Linked DNA regions of Rattus norvegicus. The protein of the gene in region 1 binds, or shares a complex with, the protein of each later gene. Links are inferred from orthologs where the notes say so. Each region holds a gene or a part of one and is shown on either strand. Other genes may lie near its edges.

Region 1 (4,157 bases):
AATAGGCTTTGAAGTTTCAAATGTTCAAGCCAGTTCCTATATTTGTCTCTCTCTCTCTCTCTCTCTCCTTTCCCTGCCTCCTGCTGATTCAGATGTAGAACTCTCATCACCTAGTTAAGTACCATGCCTGCCTACACAACACCATGATGGACTAAACCTCTGAGACCGTAAGCCAGCCCTGCATAAATATTATTCTTTATAAGACTTGCCATATTCTTGGAGTCTCTTCACAGCAAGAGAAACCTTAAGCCAAGACAGACTCCAGGCTAATGTGTATCAATGTAGTCGGTTATATTGGAGCTTTAACAGAATGGATTGCTAATGGCTCCTGACTAGTAAAAGCCTCATTTTACCAAATCCCTGGGTTTAGATGAGGAGGCATTAGCTGGAATACATGAAATGGTAAACTTTTGAGGTCCCAGAAACACAGTAACATTTCCTTTTCTGGCTAACACTTCCAGCAGGGACCGCTGGGTTTGAGGGCATGAAATGAAAGGGCTGAGTCCTAAGTTCAGAATGAACTAAGTTCACTAGAATCCAGAATGCTCTAGTGACTGTTACACCTGGCCGGACATCCTTTTTCTCTCTGCTGGTTTCCTTTTCTTATCTTCTATCTGAGAGGCATGAAATTGGCTGCTTTTGCCATTCTGTAGTAGCGACACCCACTGGCCTTAGGTAGAGCACAGCCACAGACTAGTGCAGAATCTGGGTTGGTGAGCATTGCTTGTTTACCTTGCTGGCTTGGCTCTCTGGAATGTGTTACTGTGTGTCCTCAAGTGTTCTGAGAGACTCGACTTTGACTCAGGAGAAAGACAACAGGTTGGGAACAAGGTAGAAATGAGTTTGATTCTGGCTGACCACGGCATTGTCAAGGAAAAAATTAATTGACTTTCACGGGTCTAACTTTCTAATGTGTACAAAAAATGACAGCGCCTACACTAAACTAGTCAGTCTTAACAATAATTTCTCTTTAGCTAATGTACAATGCACAGAAGAGCCTGATCTACTGCACTGACGTTTTTCTCAGTATGAGCTAGATGTTACACAGAGAAGATATGTAAGCACAAGAAGGCAGTCTGCAGCATGTAGGCAAATCTGCCGGTTTATTTGAATGCACTGAAGCCTTTGCCCACCTCTGTCACTTGTGCTATTTACAGACACACTTGAGGTTACAGCTACAGATACACTTAACGTTTTGCAGAGCATCATCACAAAATTCACAAATGGTTATTTTCCAAGACACTCCTGGGAGGTGGCTCAGACATGGTCCAAATTTCAAATGGGGTTTAATGTCTGCGGTGGTCTCAATTCCTGCATCTAATTAACTGCCAAGCCACTAAAAATTCCAGTCACAGTCCTCACCTGGGGGTATTCACCTCCTAGCCATAAATGATTGACCAAATAAGTATCACACATCACTTTGCAGTGCATGGGTCAATCTGTTTCCTAAATGGAGTTCAGAAGAATCGGGCACCACCACCACCACAAACCACCTGAGTAATAATTGTAAGAGCTAGAAATCATTACATAGGCCTACCAGGTCTGTGTAGTCACGATAAACCACTCCTCCAACTAGTGGGGTTACATTCAGACCAAAGAAGAGTGAATCGTATTTGTTAAAAATAAAGTTTTTGGAATGTGTAAAATTGAGGACATTTCTATCCCCTTCCGATTGTTTCTAGATACTCTTCTCTCCTCCAAGAATAAGCTATTGTCTTGTTGGATCATTCAACTACCTTTCCTGGGTCTCCAGTGACAGCTGAGGCTCTCTCTAAAGCTACAACTTTTTGTGCTTCAGGTGAAACGAGGCTTTGGTCCTGTGAGTGAGTCTTGATTGAGTTAATGAATCACTGAGCTGATATGGTTCCTGGGTGCTTACCACTCTGGAAAGAACAAAGACGTATAGGGGTTAGAAAAGCATATGGGCTCTTGCTGGCTTCTGTGAATACTTTCTATATAACAATGTGTATATGTATGTTTTGTGGGGGCACTCAGTCAGGCAAGGACTTTGGTGGTCCTCCTTTACGGGTAAGAAACAGTGCTGAGTCAGTAAATGATTGACCTGGCTGCTCTGGTGATAAGCTTGGGTAAATAGGCTTGATTCTGCTCCAGGAATGGCGGGACTTTTTAACCCCTTAGGTTCCAAAGCACGAAAGTGTGATTTCCTGAGAAATCTTGTCACTAGAAGTTAACAGTCTTCGGAATTATATGCACTGTCTTCTCTGGCATCATCTTGTAGGCAGAAAGAAACATATAAAAGCAAAGTTCTGGAGCCAAGAGCTATGTTGGTGGAATCACCATCAATGGAAACTTGTCAATCAATCACAGATAGGATATTCTATAATGAAAGGGGGAAAAATCTCCACAAAACTTGAAACTTGTAGCGGAACAGTCAACAACTTTCAGAGGTGAGAGAAGATAGTAGAAAACACAACTTGCCTTCCAGGTTATATTAATGGACAAGAAACTGAATTTTCCTGACATACAGGGATATCTACCACCTCTCCTTCAGCAGGCAAATGTCAAAGATGGCCTAGTTATGAGGTTAGGCAAGGTATTTGTTCTGTGATCTTGAGAGAAGGAACAATGGTTGGTTACCTACCTCCTTTGTTACTTTCCTATCCGGTGTCTTTTCTGGCTTCCTTCCCAGCTCAGCTGGAGAGTCTAGGGCTGAGGCAGAAGCTTCCACTCTTCCTCAAGAGAGAAAGGGAGGTAACCCTTTGCCTCCTTCTCTGCTAGTCACAGGCAGCAACTTTCTTATGGTCAGGCGTGTGGACAGATGTGAAGGAGGGAATCTCTGCTGGTCTCTGCTGCAGACCTGACCAATCAATACACACCAGGCCTACTCAAATCCAACCAGAGAGCTGGATGGCAGAACCGGAGAGCAGGACCGGGAGGGGTTGGCAGAAAGCAGAGGCTGAGAGCTGTAGACAATCTGCTGAGATTACTTTGACACTGGGTCTGCAGACAAGAGGTCTTGAGAACAATAGGAGAAAGGAAAGCTTTAACGCTGCTATGTCTTAATGGCCTCAGAAGGGAATTTGGAAGATCCTTTATTAACCCTCTAGTTTAGTAATAGAATTTCTTCTATTGAGTTTTTCAAGAACCGTCTTACAGTTCTTTGAAGAAATAGGGTTGTATGTATTGAAAATGTGGTATATGTTGGACACATCACCTATGTTACAGTTTTATGGTGAGAGAGAAAAGGCTCAATGGAGTGCTGGTTGCACAATGAGAAGGAGGTGCTAAAACTGGGATTAGAACCAGCTCTGCTCTCAAAGTAATGCCAGCAGTGATCTTCCCATGACATAGTCTAAAATAGGCTAACATCTCCCTGACGGTGTCCAGGTCTGATTTGCAGAACTGTGAATATGCTACCTCATAGCAGAAGTTTTCAGCCTGTGGGTCATGAACTCTTTGGGGGAGTCACATATCAGGTATACTGCATATCAAATATTTATATTGTGATTCATAACAGTAGTAAAATTACAGTTGTGAAGTACAGTGAAAATTTGTTATGGTTGGAGATCACCAACCCATGAGGAATTGCATTAAAGGGTCACAGCATTAGGAAAGTTGAGAACCAGTGCATTACATAGTAAAGATGAACATTGCATACTTTATTATGTTGTATGTTGTATGTGGGGGGAGGGGGAGAGGAAGCGATGGAGGAGGGGGGATTAATTTACTTAGGATTACATACAGGAATATAGACTACTCATCAGTGATTACACCACTAAAGGAAATGCTTCTCTAGTTTCCAGCAGCCACTGATTGCTAATAGTTCTTTAGAAAATGGTGGGATCTTCTGCATGAAGGAACCTGAGATGGGAGCTTATTGTAATCAGAAGCTTTTTTCAATCAGAATCTTATATATTCATAAGAGGTTAAAATCAAAAGCCATGTAACGTCAGAGTCAGAGTCAAATATTAAAAATGCAATGTTAACTTGCTGGAGATGGACAAAGATCCTAAGTCAAGGAATTTAGATACCTTCTAGATGAGAGAGAGAGAGAGAGACAGAGAGAGAGAGAGAGAGAGAGAGAGAGAGAGAGAGAGAGAGAGAGAGAGAGAGAGAGAGAGACTGGTCTTAATGGTTCATTTTAAACCTTTGATTTGAGACCTGTAAGATAAAGAATGTGTGTTGTTTTGAGTTTT
Region 2 (4,289 bases), on another chromosome or scaffold:
TCAATGCCTTAGCTCAAAAATGAAACAAAAATCAAAATGTTCTGTTCCCATAAAGCACATACTCCCTTTACAAAAATCCTATTCTTGCTGGGTATGATGGCACAAACATGTAATCCCAGGGGGACAAAAGAAGAAACGAAGTTCAAGGCCAGCCTAGGCAACATGGTAAGATCCTATCTCAAAGAAGAAAGAGGGGAGAGAGGACCGCCTTGCCAAAACGGTTGTTCTTCATAAGTCCTGTGCTGCTTAGCTAGTCCAGGAACTAAGAACAATGCTGTTTGAAAACAAAGCAAACAACACACAAATGTCCTTCCCAGTTCTGGCCATAGAGATGTCTTTTAAATTCCATTTTTAAAATCCTCTATGCCCACACTTCCTGACTTGGGTTTACTAGACATAATGTAATGACTTTCTTTCCCCAGCTCCTGGAAATGCCCTTTAGGTCGGAGTCTGGGATGCGGCTTCTGACTAACAATAAAGTCCACTCCCACTTCCTCCAGACCTGGCAACCAGGGAATCCTCACTGCTGAGGAACCCCTGCCCTCAAAGAGGAAACTTGCTTCCCTCAGAAGCCTCAGCTACATGCTCTAAGAGAAAACCTTGAAACACTGACAGCCAGTGTTGGAATCAGCGTGCTCAAAGTTAATTTTCCCCCAGAAAGCCAGCTGCACTCAGTGACCCATGAGCAGAAAATCTCCAAGCAAGAAAGGGGGTTTGAAACAAGAAATAAAATCAGAATCCTACCAATAGACAATTGCTTTCTCTGGTTAACAAACAGACCTTTTGAGTTCCCTTCACATTGCTGTCAGTTCTTACTGAAAGCAAGGGTTTGTTTTGGTCCCACGTGTTGGAAAAGTCATATTCCCATTATTAAGTCTGTATAGCATGCTCCCTCCCTCCCCCTACATTTCCCTGTTAAAAACTCCTTTCCCAGACAGTAATGCTGCCACGGGCTTCTAACCCTAGGACTCAGGAAGCAGAGACAGGCAGATTTCAGTGAGTTTGAGGCCTGAGTGGTCTACCCTATGCTGTGGCTCAGGCCAGACACAGCTACTTAGTAAAATCCTGTTTCAAAAATAAAAAGTAATAAAACAAAATTTAAACTCCTTTCTCTGAAAGTGAACCCTGAAAACACAACTATTAACCTTTTCTCAAGAAGCCCCAGGCAAGATCTAAATAGTCAGCCGCCTTCCTAACTGCTCTGGTGTATAAACACCAACAGAGTTGTAGAACTGTGCCCCCAAGAAACCAGTTTCCCCCTAAGCTACGAATATTCCAAGTGAGTTTCTCACACCCTAACTGGACTCTGCAAAAGAGTATTTTATACTGATATGTAAGAATAACACTCATGTTCTTTTACTTAAACAATACATGATAGGATGTAGGGAAACTGAGAAAATATAAAACTATTTTCTCTTTACTTTCTGGGAAGATGTCTCACAAATATTTGTGGCACTTTTAAATACTCCCCACTCCTGTTCCCACCTGCACATACACTTCCCTGCTCGTTCTGTAGTAGTGTAGGAGGCTGGGTTCAAGCACATGTCCCTGATGGGCATTCTCTTGCAATATGGGAAACTGAGATTCAGGGTCTGAGCGCACTTTCCAAGACTGGAGCTCTGCGGGCATCATATAGAGAATCTGAGGTTCCACTACAGCTCCCTGACTGGAATCTGAGGTATATTATAGGGAATCTGGGGTGTAGCGTCCCACTACAGTTCCTAAATGAAGTCTGTGGTATTATTGTAGGAAGTCCAGGGTGTGGGGTAAAATTCCCTAACTGGGATCTGTGGTATGGTGGGAATTCTGGGGTTCCCCGATTGGAGCTCTGTGTTATCAGAGGCTATGGTGTGGTGGTGGTGGGGTGGTGGGGGCAGGTGGGGGGGGGGGGGTGTGAAATGGGCTTACACTATCCTGGATGAGTCTGTGGCATGGTGAGGTGCCCATGGTGTAAGACTGTGTGCAAGTCCCTGACTAGAGTTCCGTGGTACTAGAATTCTGGGGTGTTTGGGTGCCAGCACACTTCCCTGACTGGATGGACCCTGTGGTGTGGTGGGGAGTCCAGGTGAGAGCTGGAAGCACACTTCCCTGACTGGAGGCTGTAGTGTGGTGGGGATTCTGGGGTGTGGGGTCCCAGCACACTTCCCTGATTGGAGTTCTGTGGTATCAAAGTCTATGGTGTGGTGGAGGGACGAGTGTGAGATGGGCTCACACTATCCCGGCTGGAGACTATGGGTGTGTATGGGGGGGGGGGGGGTAAGGGAGTCTGGGTGTGAGCTGGAAACACACTTCCCTAACTGGAGTCTGTAGGAGGGAGTCCGGGTGTGAATTGGGAGCACACTTCCCTAACTGAAGACTGTGGTGTGAAGGAAGGGGAGACCCGGGTGTGAGCTGGGAACACGCTTCCCTGACTGGAGTCTGTGGAAGGGAGTCTGGGTGTGAGCTGGGAGCACACTTCCCTGATTGGAGTCTGTGGGGGGAGTCCGGGCACACTTGCCTGACTGGAGTTCTGTGCTGTGGGGAGTCCGGGTGCGGGAACCGAGGACCCGGACGAGCCCTTCCTGTCACCCCGAGGCTGCCCCCCACTCCCTAGAGATCCCCGGGAACGCGGGCGCGGGTCGCAGAAGGAACCGCCCGCGGCTGGCTTACCTGAGGCGAAGGGCCGCCGAGCTCCACAAGTTGCAGTTCCGCCTCCCGGCACCCGCCCGGCTGCCAGATCGCCGCTCCCGTCGCGGCCGCCCCCGCGCCCTACACGGCGACAGGAGCCGGGGCCCGAGCACAGCGCCCGGCTGACATCACCGCCGCCCAGGTGCCGCCTCCCCTCGGTCCTCCTCGGCCCGCCGCCCCGCCCCCGGCGGGAACCAGCCCTGGGGGCGGAGGGGGCAGGGCCTTGCTCCTGCGGCTCGCTGATTGGCCGGGCGCGCGGTCACTCCGAGGCGCCGCCGGGTCTCCCACATTCCTGGCGGAGCCGGGCAGAGCTGGGAGTGGGCGTCGGTGGGGAGCGCGGCCGGTCGGATGCGGTCCGCAGGGCGCGGATAAAGGGCTGTGGAGAGCCGGGCGGTTGGTCGCTGCTCTTCCCGGGTCGGAAGCGACGCCCACCCCGAAAGACCGCCTCTGTGTCGTGGACTGGGCGGACGTGGGCGGCGAGGTTATAAAGTAAAGGCCCCGGAGGTCTCCTGCCCTGCAGCGCGGGCCGGGGTCAGTCCGGGAGAAACTGAGGACTTGCAGAGTCTAGGTAGACTGGGATCCCAGACGTGGCCACCCTAGCTCCGCGTGGTCATCTGGCGGCGCTCAACCACGTGGCTGCTTTTGCACTTAGTGATAAGACAAAAAAAATAAAAATAAAAACAAGCTCCCAGAGAATAAAATGGACTCTCCAGAGGGTGGGGGAAATATTTTACTATGTACATTTGGTTTGGTTCCTCTCTCTCTCTCTCTCCCTCTCTCTCTCTCTCTCTCCCCTGTGATACACATCAAGGCTGATTTTCAAATTGTTATCTTCCTAGGAGCTGAGATTACGGACCCATGCTACCAAACTCAGCACCAACCTGCTTTTTAACGATTTTTTTTTTAATTTGTCTTGTTTTTGGTTTGTCTTGTCTTTAAACTGTGTGGACCAGCCGTGAACAGCCAGCTGTCTGCCAGCCTCTGCCTCTAAGATTGCTGAAATCAAAGATGTGCACCACCACACCTAGCTATTTTTGTTATTTTGTTTAATTATGTGTATGTATGTGTACTCATGGAGGCTAGAAGCCTTGAGTTCTGACAGTCATGAGGTAGGGGCTGTGGGCTGAACTCAGTGCAAAAAGAGCAGAAGGGCTTAACTGCTTGGACATCTCCTTAGCCCCTGCGCTGAACTTTTTAAGTGCCATAAGGTTGCTGTTCTGATGCACAACCGAAAAGGGAGAACCCTCACAACTGAGTTCAAACCACATGGTAATAATTACTGTTGAACCAATTGCAGCGACTGAGCTAACAATTAAGAATTAACTACTATTTACCCTCTGGTGGATATCAGCTGTCTAATCCTCTTGGCTGCAAAGTCGGGCAGATTCTCAGGAGCCCTTCTTTCAGTTTCCCCTGTCAGGCCCAGGACAGAACTGAATGTCCAAAAGCAGCTTTCCCGATACAGAACATGATGTAGGTGTCAAACTATATCCACCACCATCTAGAAGCACAATTAATCGATTAGTTTCTGTTAGCTTTTCGTTGGCTATGGGTCCCCCCACCCTAGGAGCAGGAGGCAGTGTGTTTGTTTGTATGTTGATTGGGGAGAGGGGGGGTGATTT

The links. The genes of interacting proteins can lie anywhere in the genome.
Region 2: Phldb2 (region 1) and Ppfibp1 share a complex: the UniProt entries of both Homo sapiens proteins name them as parts of the cortical microtubule stabilization complex. The link is inferred for Rattus norvegicus from reciprocal best matches to the Homo sapiens genes PHLDB2 and PPFIBP1.

What each region holds. Positions count from the first base shown.
Region 1 is NC_086029.1:68,320,424-68,324,580, reverse strand, and holds the start of Phldb2 (pleckstrin homology-like domain family B member 2), read right to left. Parts: upstream 2,844-4,157; 5' UTR 2,603-2,843; intron 1-2,602. UniProt on the Homo sapiens protein: Seems to be involved in the assembly of the postsynaptic apparatus. May play a role in acetyl-choline receptor (AChR) aggregation in the postsynaptic membrane.
Region 2 is NC_086022.1:181,537,995-181,542,283, reverse strand, and holds the start of Ppfibp1 (liprin-beta-1), read right to left. Parts: upstream 2,819-4,289; 5' UTR 2,650-2,818; intron 1-2,649. UniProt on the Homo sapiens protein: May regulate the disassembly of focal adhesions. Did not bind receptor-like tyrosine phosphatases type 2A.